Linked DNA regions of Coturnix japonica. The protein of the gene in region 2 interacts with the protein of the main gene of each other region in a biochemical or structural test. Links are inferred from orthologs where the notes say so. Each region holds a gene or a part of one and is shown on either strand. Other genes may lie near its edges.

What was found. The genes of interacting proteins can lie anywhere in the genome.
Region 1: the proteins of CAV1 (region 2) and PTGS2 form a complex in vitro, tested with the Homo sapiens proteins (2 studies listed by BioGRID). The link is inferred for Coturnix japonica from reciprocal best matches to the Homo sapiens genes CAV1 and PTGS2.

What each region holds. Positions count from the first base shown.
Region 1 is NC_029523.1:8,952,671-8,957,028, forward strand, and holds the start of PTGS2 (prostaglandin G/H synthase 2), read left to right. Parts: upstream 1-1,241; 5' UTR 1,242-1,361; coding exon 1,362-1,413; intron 1,414-1,813; coding exon 1,814-1,930; intron 1,931-2,037; coding exon 2,038-2,181; intron 2,182-2,675; coding exon 2,676-2,819; intron 2,820-3,224; coding exon 3,225-3,406; intron 3,407-4,200; coding exon 4,201-4,284; intron 4,285-4,358. UniProt on the Homo sapiens protein: Dual cyclooxygenase and peroxidase in the biosynthesis pathway of prostanoids, a class of C20 oxylipins mainly derived from arachidonate ((5Z,8Z,11Z,14Z)-eicosatetraenoate, AA, C20:4(n-6)), with a particular role in the inflammatory response.
Region 2 is NC_029516.1:22,500,298-22,504,648, reverse strand, and holds the start of CAV1 (caveolin-1), read left to right. Parts: upstream 1-1,301; 5' UTR 1,302-1,451; coding exon 1,452-1,481; intron 1,482-2,066; coding exon 2,067-2,231; intron 2,232-4,351. UniProt on the Homo sapiens protein: May act as a scaffolding protein within caveolar membranes. Forms a stable heterooligomeric complex with CAV2 that targets to lipid rafts and drives caveolae formation. Mediates the recruitment of CAVIN proteins (CAVIN1/2/3/4) to the caveolae.

The DNA of each region.
Region 1 (4,358 bases), on a different chromosome or scaffold from region 2:
ATCAGATCTTGGTTACGAGCAGTCCCAAAACAACACATGAGGGTGAAGGACACCCTTTGGAAAAACAACCATTCCCCATCCCCTTATTTTCCATCATCCTGCTTCAACCCGCAGGGACAGGCTCCCAGCAGCCACACTGCTCTCCAGATGTGTGGCTGAGGCAAAGCAGTGCTTTGCATGGACACCTACACATATCTCCGTGTGTGTGAGCATAAAATCAGATGTGCCTTTTGCTATTGCAGAAGAATCACGCAATGACAGACCTTTGTGCGCTGCTCTCTCAAACATCTTGGATGACCTATTACTGGTGTGCACAAATCATTCAGCCTGTTTCTTCAGAGTCAAAAATAAGATTTTGTTTAAGTCGGACTAAATCCCTTCTCAAGGCAACAATTTGCAATGTAAACACCATCACCTCAAAACTCAAGCTGCATTGTTATGGACCCAATTATGGCTTTCAGCTCACGGAGTGTGCAGGCGGCGGGGGAAGCAGCAGCGGGCCCAGCACCGTGCAGCCCTTACACAACTCCACAACGTTCGTCCTTGCTGTTTCGTAACCTTCCATGCGCAACAACGAGTAAAAATAGAGGTAACGTGTGCGGGTTAGAAATCTGTGACAAGAAGCATCCCGTCTGCGCGCTGCTGGGAGGAAATGAGCTAAGATTTGTTTACAGTGTGGCCGTGCTCTGCAGCAGGGGCATTGTAAGGCAAAGGAAAGGGAAAAAAAAAACAAACCACCAGCATTGCTCGTTTTGAGGTAAGATTCCTAATAACGGGAATGGCAAAGGTGCAAAAACTAAGCGAAGTACGCCCGAACACCCGCCTCATCACGCAGCATCCATCTGCAGCACCACGTCCAGTGACAGGCGCTGCTTCGCGTGAGGAAACGCGCTTCACCAAAAGAAACTGCCCAGATGACCTCATTGAAAGCGAACGAAGCGAACGAAATTGAACTCTCCAAGGCCGGGTCAGCGGGGGGTCAGCGGCGTCCGGCGGGGGGAGCCCGGAGCACACGGTGTCCTGGCCGCCCGCTCCGCTCGCTCACGGCTCAGGGGCACCTCGCAGCAGCCCCGCACCGCTCCGCACCGCCCCGAGCCCGGCGCTCTCCCCCAGCGCCCCCTCGCGTCCCGCACAGAAGCGCGGCGCGCAGCAGGTGGGAGCGGGGGCCGGGCCGGGGCGGGGCAAGGCGTGCGAAATCCCCCACGCGTTGCGTTAGTTTCCGGGCCGGGGGGGGAGAGGGGTGAGTCACGGCGGGATGTATAAATGAGGTTGAGTACCTGCCTGCTGTAGGATTTCTGCCATTTCCAGCGTCCTTGGGATTTCTGTAGCTGCGAGGAAAGAGTAGAGAGGCTCGCCGGGATATGCTTCTACCCTGTGCATTGCTGGCCGCTCTCCTGGCTGCCGGCCACGCAGGTGAGTGGGGGGCGCGATGGGGGCGGGGGACTTCGGCTTTGGCTCTGCGTCCCGGCGGCGCGGAGAGCTCCCAGACAGAAGACAGCGGGCCGGGCCCGCCGCGATGCTCACAGCAGGAGCGCAGGTCTTCCGCTTTACGCACCGTATAGCTCCGAAGGCAGTGCAGCAGGAGGGGCTGTCGGACCCCCACTGTGTGTGGAGCTGGTTCGTTGCAGCCCGCACGGTGCACTTTCCAACTTGTGTCACTGGTGTTGCCCAGAGCTGCCCGGAGCCTCGTGCGTGTGGAACTCGTTCTGCTGCCCGCCCTGTGAGCACTGATGCACCTAAGATGCAACGCAGTACAGGGGCAGTGCTGACCCAGTAGAGAAGGTGCTCTTTTAACTGTTTGATTTTATTCCAGCCAACCCTTGCTGCTCCCTCCCGTGTCAGAACAGAGGTGTGTGCATGACAACAGGATTTGATCGGTATGAATGTGACTGCACAAGGACTGGCTATTATGGGGAAAACTGTACGACACGTAAGTACCTCTGATCTCTCTGCATGGAAATGGAGTCTGAGAACTCAATTACAGAATTGCAGGTTATAATGAATAGTGACTTCAAATCTTTCTGTCTTTGCTCACAGCGGAATTCTTCACGTGGCTGAAACTAACACTGAAACCTACGCCAAATACTGTCCACTACATTCTCACTCACTTCAAAGGAGTCTGGAACATCATCAACAATATTTCCTTCTTACGAGATACTATTATGAGATACGTGTTGACGTGTAAGTATACTTTCATGCTTGCAGTACTTCTAACTGACAGGAGCTACGTGTAGGACTTTAAATTCCCTATTTGATTAGTTTACTGATAAAACAGCAAGCTAAAATATGTTATGGGAAAAGCACTCCAAAGGGAACTTAGGATCTAAGGGTATTTATGCTTGGTATGAAATAAGCATTCAGACAAATGCATTTTTTTCCTTATCTTAAATACTGACTCAAATTTTGCTAATGCAACCTGCCCCATTTGTTATAAATTTGGTAGCTGGATCCATCTGGTAACTGGGACTTATTTGTATTATTTAGTAGCCATAAGTTACTGAAGTTAAATGGGATTATGCGTGTGGAGTTTGTGGATGCAATGGCTGCCAGAAGTACAGGGAAACCATCTAGTACTTCTTGATGGACTTCTTGTACTTCTTAGTCTCCATATATTAATATATGCCAAATACACACACACACACATATATATATTTATATTTTTTTTTTTCTTCCAGCAAGATCACACTTGATTGACAGCCCACCAACATACAATAGTGACTATAATTACAAATCCTGGGAAGCTTATTCCAATCTTTCCTATTACACAAGAAGCCTTCCACCAATAGGACATGACTGTCCAACACCGATGGGTGTTAAAGGTAAGGAATAAAACAGATACCTTGTGTTCATTTCCAGGGTTTTCATTTATCTTTTTGTCCTAGAAAACACCAACAGATCTCGTCTACATCTTAATGCACTGTTGGCTTTGAGAATAGCAACAAATGAGATAGATTGTGTAATGAGCTAAAAGATAACCATTCTGGTACTCATTATTGAACTGTGTTCTAAAACCAGGAATTAGAAAGCTTCTAATAAATTCAAAAATGTAAGCATGGGAAAACTGTGACTATAACAAACAAAAAGAAGATAGTTCCCCTTGTTAGTAAGCTGCTATTCTTTGTTAGAGATTTGAAAATGGGAAACGTATTTGGTTGTGAGGAGCAAAAATAAGTACTAAGCATAATTGCCATGAATATCTTGCTATAAGAAAACTCTTCTTCTAGGTAAGAAAGAGCTCCCAGATTCAAAGCTGATTGTGGAGAAATTCTTGCTGCGAAGAAAATTTATTCCTGACCCACAAGGCACAAACGTGATGTTCGCTTTCTTTGCCCAGCATTTCACCCACCAGTTCTTCAAGACAGACCATAAGAAAGGACCTGGCTTCACTAAAGCTTATGGCCATGGGGTAAGATCATAGCTTTGGAACTTGAACGCAGTGCTAAAGCTCTTAGGAGCTACCAAGCACTTAGAATGATATTTTACAGGTAGTCAGGATGTGCAGACACTCGTGGATATGCTGTGCAACACAGCAAGAAATTTTTGACCTTATGTGGCTGCTCTTTGGGCAAAAATCCAGCAACATGTTAGCACCTCTTAGGTCAGAAATGTCTGTACCAAGAACATAATTCTGCTTAAGATCTCTGTAGAGTGAGGACTGTGATTTCTTCAAAGAATCTGCTTCTTACCTAAAGCGTGCTAGATGCAATGGGTATTTAGAACTATTCTGGACTCCTTCCGCAACTGATGGAGATGCTTTGTACAGTATTTTGTTTTGTGCTGCTAATTAGGCAGTTTTAGAAGAACTTGAAAAGCAAATTTAGATTTTAAGATATTTATCTGCAAAAAGACAGTTTTGGGGTAAAGAAATTGTCCATATAAATATAACGTGCATGTCTAAAACAGATCTGTAACATCTCTGTATATATAAAGAGCTGTCTGCTTAATAAAATGCCATTGACACTCTAAACAGAGTCCTCCTAAATTGCCAGTCTGATTTAAAAACTTAATGCAGAGATTGCTGCAGTTGCCAGGAAATAATTTGGCTTCATCTTAAATATCAGTGTGTGATACTTATAAGGTAACAGTACTGTAATCACAAGGTAAACATCTGTGGATGCCAGATCATCTGTTAGAAATAGGACCTGTCCTAAAATAGGAAAAAATGTATCTTGTCTTCATGTTCTCAATATTATTTTACAGGTTGACTTGAACCACATTTATGGAGAGACCCTGGAGAGACAACTTAAGTTAAGACTTCGCAAGGATGGAAAACTAAAGTACCAGGTATGTCTTACATTAATTCCTTAAAATTAGCTCTTATTTTACAGCATAGCTTGCCTAAAGTTGGCGCTAGTGGA
Region 2 (4,351 bases):
CCACATAACTCTGCTCAGCAGCTGCCCTGGGCTGCCAACAGTGCAGCAGAGCTCAGTGAGAAGAAGTTTGGTTGGGTGTCTGAGATCTGTGGCAATTTTAGGCCACTCCTGAATAATCCATTCACAGCAGGTAAGAATGGAGCACAGGCTCTGTGCTTTCAGAAGGTTCCTGCAAGCCTTTGCCATGCCCTTTCCACATGAGCTATCCTGCTCCTCTGTACAGCATCACAGCTCTTTGCAGAGCTCCTTCGCTCCTCTGCTGGGATTCATCTCGTGAAGCCTATCAATTCCTCCTGCTCCCAGTATCTCTTTAAACTGTAGCAGTGTTCTATGATTCAGAAACGTCTTCCAAATGGTGCTGAAGTTCTGCAGAAACCATTCCAGGAGTCATTACTGTTTCAAATTAACCAATAAATTTCCTATTTTTAGTCATCCTTGAGACATGCAGTAATACTGAATAAACGGGTCAAGATCTTCCTTTCAGTACTTGAGGGGAGCTTATAAGCAGAAAGGGGATGAAATTTTACTTGGGCTGATAGTGATAGGACAAGGGGAATAGCTGTAAACTACAAGAGGGAAGATTTAGGTTAGATGTTAGAAGGAAATTCTTTACTCAGAGGGCAGTGAGGCGCTGCTACAGCTGCCCAGAGAAGCCGTGGGTGCCCCATCGCTGAGGTTCTCAAGGCCAGGCTGGATGGGGCTGTGGGCAGCCTGAGCTGGGAGGGGGCAGAGAACAGAGCGCAAACACCGGCATCCCACTGCACCTCTCAGAGTGAAGTCCCAGCTGTTAACGTGCATGGCAGACATGGGTCAGCGTCCTCCCAGGAAAAATACAGCACATTTAGCGTGCGGGACTGTCAAATATTTGCATAGTTTTGAAGTGAACCAGTTTAGAAAATCTCTTTTTCTTCAACCCAAAGATGTCCAAGTTTCCACGATCGCTCCCGGGACAGTGCGTGGACCATTGTCAGAGGAGGGGGGGGCTCTACCAACGCAGCACTGCTCGTTTTCCATCTCCTCACCCCTTCACGTCCCCCCATCCCCAGGGGCTCTGCCACACGCGGCCACCGCCGCCCCCCGCATCCCAGCGGCGAGGACCCGCTGCCAGGGGACGGCTCGAGCAGGGCAGGGTGGCCCCGGTTGTTGTGGCTGCGGCTGCTGTCGCTGTCACCGTCGCCGCAGCTTCCCATGCAGCCGGGGCCGCCCGCTCTCCCGCAGGTCTCCGAGGCCGGGTCTCTTTCCCCTCCCACCGCGGGCCGCTCCCGGGCGCGCTGCGCGATGCCGGGCCGTTCCGCCGCTTGTCATCAGCCCCGGCCCGAGGCGGGGAGCAGCTCCTGGCCGGCCGCCAGCCGCCTCCCTTCCCCTGGCCGGCCGCTCCGCCGAACGGGATCCTCCTGCCTCCGCTGCTCAGAGTTAGAGCGCAGAGCAACCTGCGGCAGCGCCGGGACAGCATGTCTGGCACCAAATACGTGGACTCGGAGGTAGGACGAACCGGGGGATGCACTCGGGCTGCTGCCGGCGCTCCGCGGCGCGGCGGGACGGGACGGGACGGGACAGGACGGGGAGCGGGGTTGCGGAAAACGGGACGGGACGGGATGGGACGAGACGTGACAGGACGGGATGAACGGCGGGCAGGGGATTGGGGGCTGCCCCGGGGCTGCAGGGCGAGGCCACGCGGTGAGGGTCACAAACCGAAGGCGGGACACGCGGGGCGCAGCGCGGGGGTTTCCCTCTGCACCGGCTCCGGCTCCGGCGCCGGGGCAGAGCAGCCTCCCGGGGCGGGCTGTTTGTCGGGCGGGTGGCAGCGCTCCGTGCCCGACCCGGGTGGCGCGTGGGGGGCGCGGCGGGGACGCCTGGCGGCGGCCGTGGGAGCGAACGTAGCGTCGGGCGCGGGGTGTGGTGAGAGCCCCGCCGCACCGTTAAATAGCCCGGGCTGCCGACCGCCGCTTCGCACCGCGCTCCCCGCGGGACCGGGGCCGCCCCCAGCCCGCCCTGCCTCCTTCCCTCCTTCCCTCCCTCCATCCCTCCCCGCCGGCTCTGCCCCCCGGCCGCTCTCCCTCCCGCAGGGCTTTCTGTACGCGGCGCCCGTCAGGGAACAGGGCAACATCTACAAGCCCAATAACAAGATGATGGCAGACGAGCTGAGCGAGAAGGCGGTGCACGACGTGCACACCAAGGAGATCGACCTGGTCAACCGAGACCCCAAGCATCTCAACGACGACGTGGTGAAGGTGAGTGGCCGGGCCGGGACGGGACGACCGCTTTCCTCCACCTGCTGCGGGAGGGAGGGAGCAGCTCACGATTTCTTTTCGGCGTTGAAAAGAGAGGGGAGGCTCTGAGCCCGGCTGCCCCGAGCCGTGTGCCCAAGGCTGCGGACCTCGTGCGGGCGGCTCCAGCCGGGCTGAGCAGCGGGATGGGTCGCCCTCGGCCAAGCGGCTGCAGAGGTGGTTTGGGTTCGTTTGCTTGGTTTGGTTTGTGTTCGTTTCCGTGCAGTTTTTCCCTCTGTCGGGAAGTGAGTAAAGGAAGCCAGGCAAAACCGGACGGGGTCCCTTTCTAGAGTCTTTCTTCTGGTGTTTAACTCACTTGGACAGTTTTGACACATGTGGAGTGACGGACACTTTTGCTTGTACTCGCTTTGGTCAGAAAAATCACGAGGCTGAGTTTTCTTTTAGCGGGAGAATTTTATGCTGTTTGTGTGAAAACAGGGACACTGCCACCTGAGCTTACCAGGATCCAGCAAAGCCAAGGGCTGCCCAGTCAGCTGCAGTGAGTGAGAAAGGCACTGGAGTGCTTAGTGCCAGGCATGGGCTCCCTGAGCAATGGGGCTGTAGAGCAGGAAGACCTGGCCTTAAAAAAAGATGAATGTTATATTGTTTCTGGGGGGGGTAAAATGATTGGAAAGCAGTTCCTAAATGTATGTCAGGGGTATGATTTGTGCCATGTGCGGACAATGCAGAAAGGTCTTGAGTAACCTCAAATCCCACTGACTTCTAAGGAGCTTAGAGGTGCTGAGTATGACTGGCCACGTTGCTGGATCAAGAATTGGAATTTGGGCTGTCTATTTTGTTAAGAGGGCCATTGTCCAAGATCTAGAAAGAAAAGGGATGAAGTTTCCATTTGCTTAGGGGGAAAATAATCAACTGTACCACTTCCTAGTGGTACAGAACTTCCATTAAAGTGCTTGCTGTTAGGAAGGAGGGAACAATCCTTTTATCTGCTACCCAGCAGCTGGGTAGCAGGAATGTAGGAGCTGGAGAACAAGGCTTCCTAGTGGCTCATTGCGTACATCAACAGAAGGAGTCCCCAAAGCAACCAAACCTTCCAAGGATGAGTCACAGCCCCTAGGCAGGCCGGAATTTGAGTGTCCAGACTTAGCCTGGGGATAAAGATCCTGCTGGGACAAGATGCAGGCTGCTGGTGGAAAAAACTCCTAATGGACAAAAAAGAAGTGGCATGCAGAGCCTGTCCTGCTTTCTCTGCCTCTTTTAGGAACAATGATTAAGAAAGTTAGCTCGGTAGATTCAATAATCCAAAAGACTTTTAAAGAATAAGAACTTAGGAATGGAAAAATCAAGCTTTTCAGTATGTCCCTCCAAGATAACTGTGGACCATCAAATGTGTTCATCAAGAACCAGCAAGCAGCCAGAATAGCGGTACCATGTCTTGTATCCATGAGTTCCTGGTAGTGCACAGAAGCATATCAAGACACAGTGATGTGCCAGAATAAATGTTAACCACACAGTATCCATTTTGCATCCTAAAAGCAGCGGCATTTTTTGTTCTGTTTTTTTTTTTTTTTTTTTCAAAGCGGACATTTCAAAGCAACATTTTCCCATCTTCTCACAAGGATGAATAAGAATCACTTTGATTTGTTGTAAGCATTTTGTAGGTAGACCCAACCCTACCAATACAGAAAGGAATTTTGCTACACTTTGAGTTTGAACACTTCTTTCAGGTTCAGCTTAGAAGTAGCTGCAAAGTTTAGATCCAGTTCCTAGGGGGCAGACTCTCACTGAGGAGAAGGCAAAGATTCAGTTCCTGCCTCAGCCACTAGTCTATGACCTCTTCCATTATGTTATCTAGAAAGTGTAAAAAATGTACCTGAGTAACAGGCGTCTTGGCGTACTGGAAGACAGAAGAAATCATTCTTTTTTTTTTTTTAAGGCCTGAAGCATGCCCCAGATGTAACTCAGTTTTGTGTAGGGCCATTGCCTTTTTCTAGATTCAGAACCTTCTGCTTTGTAACCAGAGTTTTATGCATTTCTTGCCACTTGACTATGAGACACAATAGCATGGAAAATAGGGACAAATCAGTCAACCATGAAATAGAAATGATTAGACAGAGAATGAG